2 linked regions of the Caenorhabditis elegans genome follow. The protein of the gene in region 2 purifies or fractionates together with the protein of the main gene of each other region. This does not show direct contact. Each region holds a gene or a part of one and is shown on either strand. Other genes may lie near its edges.

Evidence for each region. Proteins that work in one complex are often made in the same cells at the same time.
Region 1: the proteins of mina-1 (region 2) and let-2 purify together in Caenorhabditis elegans (affinity purification with mass spectrometry, with the first as the bait; one large-scale study listed by BioGRID). This does not show direct contact.

What each region holds. Positions count from the first base shown.
Region 1 is NC_003284.9:16,385,525-16,391,788, forward strand, and holds the start of let-2 (Collagen alpha-2(IV) chain), read right to left. Parts: upstream 3,804-6,264; coding exon 3,781-3,803; intron 3,564-3,780; coding exon 3,509-3,563; intron 3,494-3,508; exon of another isoform or gene 3,397-3,493; intron 3,312-3,396; coding exon 3,249-3,311; intron 3,108-3,248; exon of another isoform or gene 2,948-3,107; intron 2,875-2,947; coding exon 2,775-2,874; intron 2,716-2,774; exon of another isoform or gene 2,453-2,715; coding exon 2,264-2,452; intron 1,763-2,263; coding exon 1,587-1,762; intron 1,536-1,586; coding exon 1,458-1,535; intron 1,338-1,457; coding exon of another isoform or gene 1,230-1,337; intron 1,200-1,229; coding exon 1,089-1,199; intron 692-1,088; coding exon 575-691; intron 529-574; coding exon 364-528; intron 315-363; coding exon 43-314; intron 1-42. UniProt on the Caenorhabditis elegans protein: Collagen type IV is specific for basement membranes.
Region 2 is NC_003279.8:9,515,653-9,521,317, forward strand, and holds mina-1 (Messenger RNA-binding inhibitor of apoptosis 1), read right to left. Parts: upstream 3,085-5,665; 5' UTR 3,046-3,084; coding exon 2,973-3,045; intron 2,922-2,972; coding exon 2,753-2,921; intron 2,706-2,752; coding exon 2,573-2,705; intron 2,533-2,572; coding exon 2,382-2,532; intron 2,339-2,381; coding exon 2,271-2,338; intron 2,226-2,270; coding exon 2,028-2,225; intron 1,980-2,027; coding exon 1,590-1,979; 3' UTR 1,374-1,589; downstream 1-1,373. Other genes in the region: tspo-1 (TspO/MBR family protein), read right to left, coding at 1-71, 123-187, 1,046-1,124; set-32 (SET domain-containing protein), read left to right, coding at 3,606-3,707, 3,755-4,062, 4,109-4,349, 4,463-4,594, 4,643-5,188, 5,269-5,388, 5,434-5,538. UniProt on the Caenorhabditis elegans protein: RNA-binding protein which binds to its own mRNA and target mRNAs to negatively regulate gene expression to modulate apoptosis and differentiation in the germline.

The DNA of each region.
Region 1 (6,264 bases), on a different chromosome or scaffold from region 2:
ATTAGAATAATACAGATAGGCAATCTTTTGAAAACAACTAACCCTGGTTCGCCCTTTGGTCCTGGAAGTCCTGGAATTCCAGATGGTCCAGAGACTCCTGGCGCTCCTGGAATACCGCCATCTCCCTTATCTCCCTTTGGTCCTGGGAGTCCTTCATTTCCTGGGTAACCTGGAAGACCTGGCCCTCCTGTGTTTCCGATTGGTCCAGCTGGCCCTGGGGCTCCTGGGTAGCCATCAGTTCCCGGTGGTCCTGGGTTTCCTGGTCGTCCTGGCAATCCTGGTGGTCCTGGAGCTCCGTCATTGAAAGTACCACCCTGAAAATTGAACAATTTAATGTTTAATGTTTTCAAAACAAAATCCTACTCCTGGTGGTCCTGGTGGTCCGGAGTTACCCTTTGGCCCATCTCTTCCTGGGTATCCAGCTTCTCCCTTTTGGCCTGGAAGTCCTGGGATTCCGCCAAGTCCGTCAAGACCACGATCTCCCTTGAATCCTGGTGGTCCAGCGTTTCCTGGGCGACCTTCCTTTCCCTAAAATCAAAATCTTTAATAAAATATAGCAGGATTCGATGCTTACTCTTGGTCCAGCTGGTCCAGACAATCCCTTTTCTCCCTTCATTCCTGGGAGTCCTGGCTGTCCTGAGAGTCCTCCATTTCCTGGGTAACCGCGTTGACCTCCCTCTCCTGGCTCTCCCTGCAACACAAAACATATTAGAAACATAGAGGGGAAATTAGATGTATAGCAAAACACACACGGAAAACCAGCTATGCAGTTATTGATTCGTACTAACAGTAAACGTGTAAGTTTAAAATTTTGTTCTCTTTTCCGTTTCAAAAAATGAAAAGAGAATAAGGCAGAGCTAGAAGTAGTAGAAGTTTCCAATGCCAAATAATACAGCTATTCTAGTCTATATGAACTCTGGGAAGATCATGCAAAAGAAGCTTGAAAGGCAAGAAAGTAGAAGTAATTTGAAAAAAAGGCTTCTTTTAGAAACTGAGGCGAAAACTGTTAGAGTTAGCGTAAATAAGGCGGGTGTAAAAAATTGTAAATGGTTGGAATCGTTCAGTTAGCCTGCTCTAAGTATTCTTGCCTTCTCTCCCTTCTCTCCTAGGTCTCCCTTAGGACCGATAATGGTTCCCTTGGACATGGTGGAGGCGATTGGGCCTGGCGGACCGGCCGGTCCCATCGCACCAATGTCTCCCTAAAAAAAGAAAGAATTAATAAACAGTACCTTGTCTCCCTTTTCTCCAGGGTTTCCGCGAGGTCCGACAATTGAGCCGGATCCGGTGAACTCACGTGGTCCCGGTGGACCTGGTGGTCCGACAGAACCTAGATCTCCCTAGAATTTAGAAAATACAATAATTAAAATGATTGGAGTTCAGAATGAAAAAGCATTTCTGAAAGGGAGAAACAAAATTTCTAGAAATATCCCAAAACCCAAATAGCCCCAATTTCTCACAGGATCTCCTTTTGGTCCAATGCTTCCGATTCCTGGGTTTCCTGGGGATCCAGCCTCTCCAGGTGGTCCACGTGGTCCCTGGAATAATTAAAGAGTTAGTTTCTCGAAAACCAAAGAACAAGGTCCTACAGCATTTCCAGTATCTCCTCGGTCTCCCTTTTCTCCTGGGTATCCATCACGACCGGATGGTCCTGGAAGTCCGGGCATTCCTGGCATACCGCCATCTCCCTTCTCTCCTGGAGCACCAGCATATCCGATAGCTGGCTCTCCCTTCAAACCGTCCATTCCTGGTGGTCCGGGGAATCCTAAAAGAAATATTAAACTGGTTGTTGATCACTTCAAATTCAATATTTTCAGCAATTTATCTTGTGGTTTTTTTGCCAGCGAAACACTCATAAAACTGGGTTGGAAGCGACAGAAGTGAAAGGAACAACTGTTGGTGTAAACTGAGATGCCAGAAAAATATGTGTGTATGTGCGATGCTGCTTTTTTTAACTAGCAAAGTTTTTGCTCTAGTGTCGAGCTGTTTGCTGATTGACCGCAATGCGAAATCAGATTCCAATGAAGTTTTTTTTGTGACAGCTGGCATTAGTACTAATATACTTCTAACTGGTTAGACTTTAGCTAAAATCAACTTGTTGCAACAAGATTAAAGACAAAAGTATTATGGAATATTTAATTACAGACTAGACTTCCCTATCACAACAAAGTTTTGAAACTATTATTTTTAAAAAAGTTGTGATATTTTTGAAAACTTAAGAAAACTTGAGTGTCAGATCGTTAGATAATTGTTTAAAAATCCTCACCTGGCATTCCTGGTGGTCCTGGCCGTCCTGGGATTCCTGGAGCTCCGTCAGTTCCGTTGCAACCATCCCATCCTGGGGCTCCTGGTGGTCCTGGCTCTCCTGGTCGTCCGTTTCCACCGTCATTTCCTGGGAATCCAGGTACTCCAACGGCTCCACGATCTCCCTTGATTCCAACTGGTCCAGGGGGTCCTGCAACAACGATGACTCAGGTTAGTCAATTTTACAACATCAGCTCCTCAGGCTGTAGGGGGGGGAGCCCACTCAATTATTCTATCTTATACTGCTCCCCGCCGCGGAAGATATTGAATGAAAAGAAGAAGATAGCGGGAAGCGAGGTGACCTGGCTCCCTCCGCTTCAAAGATGATTAAAGATTTGATTGAGTGATTGAAATTTGCAAGCAAAGGGGAGCGAGATGACAAGATGATTGAAGAGCTTCACCTTTTTATCTTTATCGGAAATACAAACAACTACACTTTTCTGTACTTTTATTCCGGACACTTGCTTACATACCTTGAGCTCCTTTCAGTCCTTTTGGTCCAGCGAGTCCTTCTGGTCCTGGGAATCCACGGATTCCTTGGGTTCCAGGTGGACCTTGTGGTCCTGGTGCTCCCTGAAATTTCGACTCTTCAATAAAAGATTCCACGTCTAAAATCATTAATAGGGTCAACTAATCAGTATAAATCTTAAGGTGTTGATTTCAACAATTGCTTTGTGTGACCCCCGTTGACCCTTTCCTCCCACGTCTGACAGGGTGCCACGCTGGATGGGAGGATAGTGACAGCTGCGGAGCGCGTCTTTTGCTCGGAGAGCTCTCGAAATGTTACAATCAGTAAGAGGTGCTCAATCAATGAGCTTGTTGTGAAGATATTGGGGAGAGAGTTAACTATTCTTAAAAGTAATAAGGAGTTCGAAAAATGCACTTCTAAACAAAAAGTTACAGATTTAGAGATTTTCTTTAAAAAAAAACACGAAAATTAAACGTACCATAGATCCTTTTTCTCCGACGCAGAAACATCCTCGGTTAGAGCAATCTCTGCATGTAGCTTGCTGAAAATTATAGAAAAATATATGAATTTCAAAAAAATAAATTTTAAAAAATTTAGTTTTCAAACGTTCACTTTTTAGGCTTAACGTTTCAAATCTACTGAAAAAAATTCTAATTATAATTTGTCATACTCAAAAAAAATCAGTTTACATATTTCATTACATATTTCAACAAGTAAAAAAGTAAAAAAAAAGCTTACCGATTGAACATAGCTCACAGCTAGTAAGGCCAATATGGCCAGTCGCAACACGGGCCTGCAAAGTTAAAAATAAATAAAAAATTTAAAAAAGTTAAAATTGAATAGTACTGTTTTTTCAAAAATCAAAATTTCTGGATGGTTTAGGACTCAATGGCTAGATTCTGAAAAACGTAGTTAAAATTTCAAAAGTTGGAATATGTTCAAGAAGATTTGTTCAAAAATACAGAACAAATCAAATATGGTAAGTTGAACCAAAAAAGAGAAAGTCTTACCCGAGAGCCGCTCGTTGCTTCATGGTGGTAGGCAGCCGCTGGCTGTGAGAGCACCAGTTAGAAGAAAGGATTCAACTCTTAGTTAAGGAGGCGGGGCGTCCAAAACGATCGAAAGAAAGAGAGAGAGAGAAGGAGGGACCGCTGCTCCGTCCGTCGTCTTCCGAGGCACAGACGGCAGCAGTGCACGCTGTAATATGCGAAAGATCAAGCCGAATGCTTCGGAAGCGAAGAGGTTCGAGATGCCCGGCGTCGGATAGACAACCAACGCAAGGAATCTAGCGGAATCAATCGAGCTAAAAAAAAAGCGACACGGATTGTTACGGGAGGGACCGACCGCAACATGTGCATATGGTCAGTAGATTGATCGGGTGAAAAAGTTCAATAAGATAGATGAAAAATTGAAAAGGTACCGATAAATTATGACTTAGACCAAGTGTTTTTTGCAATTAGTTTATCATAAGCTAAAATTTAAAAAATTGTAATAACTTTCTGCAAAACTTTTCTTATTCTTTCCATGTTTATAATTGTATATGTTTACTTAATTCTGAAAGGTCAAAAGTTCAGAAGCATTACTAAACATGACTACATAGATTTCAAAAACAAAAAACACTAAATAGACTTTAATAAAGCCTAGGAATGTCAACCTTCATCTTTTCAAAAATAAAGCTATTCAGCCAGACCAAACTGTTCAAACTGAGAAATCTTCAGTGTATATGGAAATGTCCAAAATTCGGTACTCTAAATCCTTTCCAAATGCTCAATCTCTTCAATCACTCTATGTTGCTATTCACCGATCTAAATTCATCTTCTCCCCTTTCCTCTTATCAATCTGTTGACCCTCCCTTCCAAGAAAACTTTGATAAAGTGCACATAGCTGTCAGCAATTGATTGACGATAACCGATGAGCATCTGAATCAGTTTGGGATTAAGAAGTCCAAATGTAATGGGTTGAAAGTACATCTGGAAACGATTTGTGGAACAAGCAAAGACTGCAAGTTTGAAGAAAATAATGCACAAAGCACCGCATTTTTTCTAGGTAATGGTTAATTTTTGACATCAATTTCCAGCAATTTGACATGAAAATTTTGAAACCAATGCTTTAGTCATTAGTAACAATTTTTAGTGAGCATTCTAAAACTAATAGCTTGATTCTAGTACAAGTAAGCTACACGAACCTATGCAAGACACCTCATCAAAAAAGGTACATAATTTTTCTTGGTTTTGGGACATAATTTCTACTAGTTGAAAAATCAGATTTAAAAATAGTCTGTCCTTTGCAAAACTATAGTTTTCAAAGTGCTATCCTTGCCAGAAAAAATTCCTCCCTATCCTTCCTTATCACAGCTTTCCCCTTGACCACGGCAAGCCGGCACTAAGTGCCTCCTGACGCTTCGGCAACATTGTGAGTATAAAAACGACACGTCGAGGGGTCAAGTTTTTCTTCATGAAACGCACTTCAACAGCTGCTCGAAATGATGAAAATGACACCGACTAGTACTTTAAGCCGGCTGTGGTTCTAGCTCTTTTTTGCTGCAATTCGAGGGATGCCTGGCACTGTGAGCACATGTAGACCATCTGGACAAGGTCGTACATCTAAATTTTTGAAATTTAGTAAACCGGAAAAAAAACGAGATGTGTACAATTTTATTATTGTTTCAAAAGAGAAGTTCTGAAAGGAAATGCACAATAATCAACATATCAGTTTGGAAAAACCGTACAGATATTTTTCTTACAGACTCTTTCGATGTTTGGTGTCCGCCACAATGTGATGGAGGAAAGAATAAGACTAAACGCTTATTTTTGCTGTTTCATAAACATTCTTCATCCACTCTGATCAGAATTTGTATACACTTATGTGTGAGACGGGGGGAAGAAAAAGAAGATGAATCGCACATATGTGGCATTATAAAAAGTTTTGAAGAAGAAGAAGAATCCGAAGATGATGAAGATGAGCCAATTTGTTTACAGGCATCTGAAAAGTGTAAACAAAGTTTCTACACTCGATTGTCCTTTCGTGTTGCACAAAGTGCACAACTTGAGGAGCAGTTCAAGCAGTTGTTCGTCACCGAGCCTTAGGGATCGATCATCTTAGGATTACTGAGAGCAAAACATAGAGAGTAGGGTACTTGTTGGTTAATGCTTTCTGAAACGTTTTTGCGATGGTTTGGGAAATCTGGAATTGAGATCTCAGCAGGTTTTCTGAAGACAACAGGATGTTATAGAATCAAATGCAAATATTAAAAAAAAACCGTATTTTCTCAATTTTTCAATTGCCCAGAAGTGCTAAAAGTATATACGGTGGTTATTTAAAAAAAAAAATTTTAATTTTACTATATGACATTTTAATATATGGTTGTTTTATTATTTTGTGGAAAGATCCATACGGTTTTTTGTTTGAAAATTTTAAAGACTAAGTTTTAATCTAAAATTTGGGATTTTTATTCTAAATAATAGTTTATCAAACTTTTATTAAACTTAGCTTAA
Region 2 (5,665 bases):
GCAAATGATGCAAAGGCAGCCACCGCGGCTCCAGCTGGAATCAACGACGAGATGATCGCATTACGAGTGTCCTGAAATAAACAACTTCAAAAAATTAACACGCAGTTTTGTCTAGAAATTACCTGAGTGGTCCAGAATGGCATTTTTTCGTAAGCAGCAAGACGACAGTGCTCCTTGTCAATAAACTCTGTAAGAAAAAATTGGTTTGCGAAACGGGAGTTAAAACGAGGTGCACACAAAAGTAAACGAAAACAGGGAAACGAGAGGTTATTCACGTTATCTCTGCGAATCCACACAAACTGGGCGAACAGTTGTATTTTGCATCATTTTTTTAGATTATAATTCTCTTCACACTGATTCAGTGACAGTCCGTCTGATAAATAAACTGGAAAACAAGAAGAAAAGGTCATCGAAATTCAGGCATTGGTGGTGGTTGGTGGCCGATTGTTCTCATCGGTCATTTAAAATGGCAGAGGCAGTAGGAAAAGAACAACAAAATTTTACGAGAGAGCGTACAGAGCGAGGAGTGTGTTAGACAGAAGGACATTGAAGAGAAAGCCAAACGAGTAAACATGCTGTTGCGGATCGATTTTGAAAAGGGAGGCTCGCGATTTCATTTTCAAGGAGAACCAAAATCTTGTGCTCTCGTCAACTTAAGAGTTGGTGCACGAGTTTTGAAAAAAACATGGATGGATATATAGTCATTAATGAAAAATAAATAAAATGACAGTTCGTCCAAAAAATAATTGTTTTAAATGTTTCTGAAACGGAAACATCAAACTTGAAGATAGTCTGAATGATCACAGCGAACACTACTGACATTCTAACGCCAATAAGTTATATCAATTGGAAAATATAAGTTTTTGCTAGTTCTAAATGCTATTGACAGTTGCGAATAGCGCGTGTGAGGACGAATGTTTGGCGGTCAGGCGGGCGGTCACAACAAAAATTGAGAAGGGATCAGTGAGTAGAAGAATGTACATGCTTTGCAGTTTAGAACGGACAATAAAGAACATAGAATATAAAATCTACAGACGCATAAAACCTTTAAATACTTCTCCAGTTTCCGAATGGATATTTGACCAGCTTTTCTCGAATTCACCGCGATGTTCTTGACAAGTCATTTTTCAAATGAATTATAGAAGTAGAATGATATTTAGAAAATATATTTTAAGAAGTCTGGCAAAACTATGAAAACGATCAGGCTTCACTAGAGATGAGAATGATACTGGAGAAGTAAACACTACGAAGGACGCCGAACAGAAAAATAACAAGATTGTTGTTCTGAGAGAAATTGTTACGATTGAAAAAAATACTTGTTGTTAAAAAACAATTTTCGATACAGACATTAATGTCGACATTCCTTGAAGTTTAAGAAGAAGAAGTTTTTATTAATAACACACAACGAACAAGGCAATCAGCATTTTACACAAAGCATCACAGGATTAATCTAGAAAACAAAATACATGAGCAAGCAAAAGGAACTAATAAATGAAATGAAACAGAGTTTGGCATCCACATGAAAAATGATATCAGAAGAAAAATAGGGTGCATGATATAGAGGGGACAAGGAACGAATATCACAGGTATTAATCAGACGGGGAAAGTTTACGTGGTGTCAATGCAAGCATCACCTTTGGCTGATCACGGAAACTGCCGCGATGATATTGTCTCGAATTACCACGCTTCTCGGGAGTTGTTGAAGAACTATCTGAAGTGAATGGAGATCCAGGCGTACTGAACCCAGAATCGGGAGGATTTGAAGCAGGTTTGTCCTGGTGTGATTGCATGAGGGACATAACTGCATTGCGTGCTTCCTGACATTGTTCTTTGTTCTGAGCCACGATTTCTACCGGTGTAGCTCCGAATGAAGACTGGACTTCAGTGTGAACGGTAATAACGCAATTGAATTGTCTCTCGATATGCTTTTTCACTGCAGCACGATTTCCTAATATTTTTCCTACTTCCGTGGTTGGAATCTGAAACGATAAAATGTAAAAATACTTTAAAATTGACATTAATCGTACCCATTGCTTGATTTTTTCGACAACGCATGTTTTTGGTGGGGTTAAAGGAAGCTCTTGCACTGGAGAAAGCCTTGGAGGTGGAACCGAAAAATCCGATGGGAAAAGGAGGTGCTTCTCTAGGCTTGCGGAAAGAAGAGGTTCATCCATAATAGACGTCGTCGGCGGTGTCGATGTCAATATCGCGTTCGGCTCGCCCATCTGTAGAAAATAATATTAGATGTCATCTGAAACGTTATTTTCTACCGGAAACACTGAGTTCAGAAAGCTATTTGGTGGGAGGTGTGTTCGAATTTCCGGATTGTACGAATTTGCTAGAACAAAATGAGTATTAGAAGTGTGAAAATTTCAACGAACTGTAGCCCATTCGTGTGGTTCGTTGTGTAGGCGGAATATTCATTTCCAGAAGACCGAAATGTTCTGTCAAACATTCTATCATCATCTCTCTCGCTTTATTGACAGCTTGCTCAGTTCCGAACATTGTTACCTTGCCAGTGAACTGGTCAATCTGAAAAATAAAATCAGCACAGTAGTTTTAACAAGCTCACGATAATATCAGTGCAGCGGGATCTCCGTTGCAAATCAGAAGAGAAGAAGAGAACAACAGCACAGTATGCCCGTGGTAGAAGAGTATGACAAATGTGTGTACAAGATGCATTGAGGGCAGCCTCTCGTATCATACTGAAACAGGTAATTCTAAATCGTTGAGTTCAGCAGAAATTACTAACATTTGAACATCTCTCTTTCGCCATACGTCCCGTAAGATTTTTTCAATTTGATTTATGTCCACTGCGACACCATCAGCACTGCTGATCACAGAGAGATGATCGTTGATTACAACTATGGAGCATTGAAACTGTCCTTCAAGAGCTGCAACCAGAGCGCATCCTTGAGGTTCTGAAAATGATATAATACATGGTTGTTAATGTTTACAAAGCTATTCCCAACCTGCCATGAATGCCTTCATTTTTTGGGGAATATAAAGTTCTTGAGGAACAGGGTACGGCGTTGAGTCGTCCATTTTCTTTTAAAATATCGATTTAAGAAGAAGAAAAGTGCTGAAAATGTATCTTTAGAGACGATAGGAATCATAGGCCTAAAATCATACGCGCCGGTTAGAAGTTAAAGTGAGTAAGGGGATTATTTAATTTTAATTAAAAATAAAATTTATAAATTCGTGTGAACGATTAATTATGCAACACGAAACCTCTTTTTTAATCCACAGTTGAAGAAAAATAGAAAAATTCGAAAAGAAAATCTTAAAAGCAATTAAAGGAACAGGGAATATCTTCACGAGGTCTCACAACGCAAATTACCGTACTTCAAAAATTCAAACTTTTTTGAAAATAGTGTTTTTTGTTGATTGAATTTTTGTTTTTCTGAACTTGCATCCGGCCGGAACGTTAATTTCAAACGATTTCGGGTTCTGTTATAAAATAAAAGTCTAATTTTGTTCATAAGTTTTTACATGTGAACTAAGTTATTTTTGTCAACTCCGCCTATTTTAATTATTTTCGTATTCAAACATTCAGGTTTGAGTGCTATGCTTCTAAATGTTGTCTTTCAGATTCTTGATATAAGATGTCATCGAAATCGAAGTCACGAACGAAGAAAAAGCTTCGTCAACACAGTTCAAGAGGCCCAATCACTGAAATGCTCGCATCAAACATGTGTATCTTTGAGGTTTGCGTAAACTTACGTTTTCTCCTTTTTAACACTTTTATTTAAAGGCACCTCCATTCAAAGCGGAGCAGGATTTCCCGATATATCTTGCCGCCGGCTACGAAGAACGAAGAACGTTTCTCAAAGAATCTGCTTGTCTTGTGGAAACGAAACCAGACGTAGAAAATTACAGCCAGTCGCATGTTAAAGTTCTGAATAAAATCCGAAACGATCCACATCTTAATGGAAACTGGAAACTGCTCCCCAAATATGATGAGGATGTGAAAGGCACAATGATGCGAATATTGGGACAACGAGCAATGATTTCACAAGGAAGGGAACATGAAATTTCCACATGTCCGGATTCCGGCCAAGAGTGAGGAATTAATTTAATTATATTATTTTAATACATTTCTTTTCAGTGTTCCATTGCTTTCGCCGACTTATATTACTCCAAGGAAAAGAATTCGAGTAACAGAGAATCTCACTTTCAACACCTTAGATATCGTTCCTGTCTATTCTGATCTACCAGATGAAAAATTGACTTCAATTCAAATTCCCGATACTCTTCTCTTCGAATATACAGACACGAATGTTTTGAACCCGTGCTCCGCAAGAAACATTGCGAAAGCATGTATTATGTCTCAAAAGGAAGAGAATACGGTACTTTATTCTTCTTTCTTTCCCTGAAGATTATTTCTAGTCAATTGTTCAGTTATTTTATGTATTGCTAAATTTAGTTTTTCTTCAAGGTAACAACTTATTTTCTTTTTCAGATTCGTTGTGATTGTTGCTCATCGAATCCAATTGTACCATGCTACGAAAACGAAAACTGCCCGTGCTATAAATTAAACCAAAAACTGCAAGGATTACAAATAAATAGTTCCAGTCACCCTCCTACCAAATTCGTAAGTCCTTCCGTAAGAATATGAAAAAATTTTTAATAAGAAGTTCAGGCGTCGTTTGATCCAGTAATGTTCTCCAATTCGAATAGTACATTCGATAGATGTATTGGATTCTCCTGCTCTGAAGCGTGTGGCTGCAAAGGAAACTGCACCAATAACAGTTTATTAATTCTTAACAAAAAACTGTTTCCGCTCGAGATCTATCGAAGCAATGAAAACGTTGGATTTGGATTACGTTCATCTGTTCTGATTCCAGCTGGCACGGCAGTATTGGAATTTACTGGAGAAATAGTTGAGCGTAATCAACTAGATCGTGACAGTCAAGATTATGCTTATCAGCTCACAGATAAAGACAATTCGAACTGGAGGCGTCTTTTGGATACAATGAAATTCTCTGATGACTATAAAAAGTTTTTGAAGAAGTTGAGCTACGAAGAATTTTTCATTGATCCAAAAGCCAAAGGAAACGTTGGACGAATGATTTGTCATAGCTGTTCGCCGAATTTAGAAATCGTTCGTGTCTACCAGAAAGGTCTTTCACCAGCTCACGTACATCTCGTTTTCATTTCGCTGTTAAACATTTATCCAGGAACACCGGTAAGCTATTTTATAAGTCTTGATTTGGAAATTTTATACCACTATCAATCTAGCTCATAAAGTTTGTTTTTACATTTCAGCTTACAATGGACTACGGATACAACTACATGAAAAATCATCTCAATGGAAAATGCGAGTGCGGAAGTTTTGCATGTTTGAACAGAAAAAGCTCCTGTCATACAAATATGTCATTCGGAGATGTAAGTATTTTTAAATTTGCAATTTTAATATAACATTTGTTTCAGTTCGCAGCTTATTATCGCAAATTGGACCATCAACAGTGGGAAAGTTGGCACAAGAACATCTGCGAACCTCTTTCATGCAACGACGATGTAGTTGTTTTAGATTAAGTGTTTTTGAAGTTTTACCGTTTTTTTTTCTTATTTTTTACTGATTTTCTTTTTTTCGTAAATAATAAACCTTTATAAAATCTTGAATAACGTATTACGCGAATTAGATTAAATCACATTATTCAAC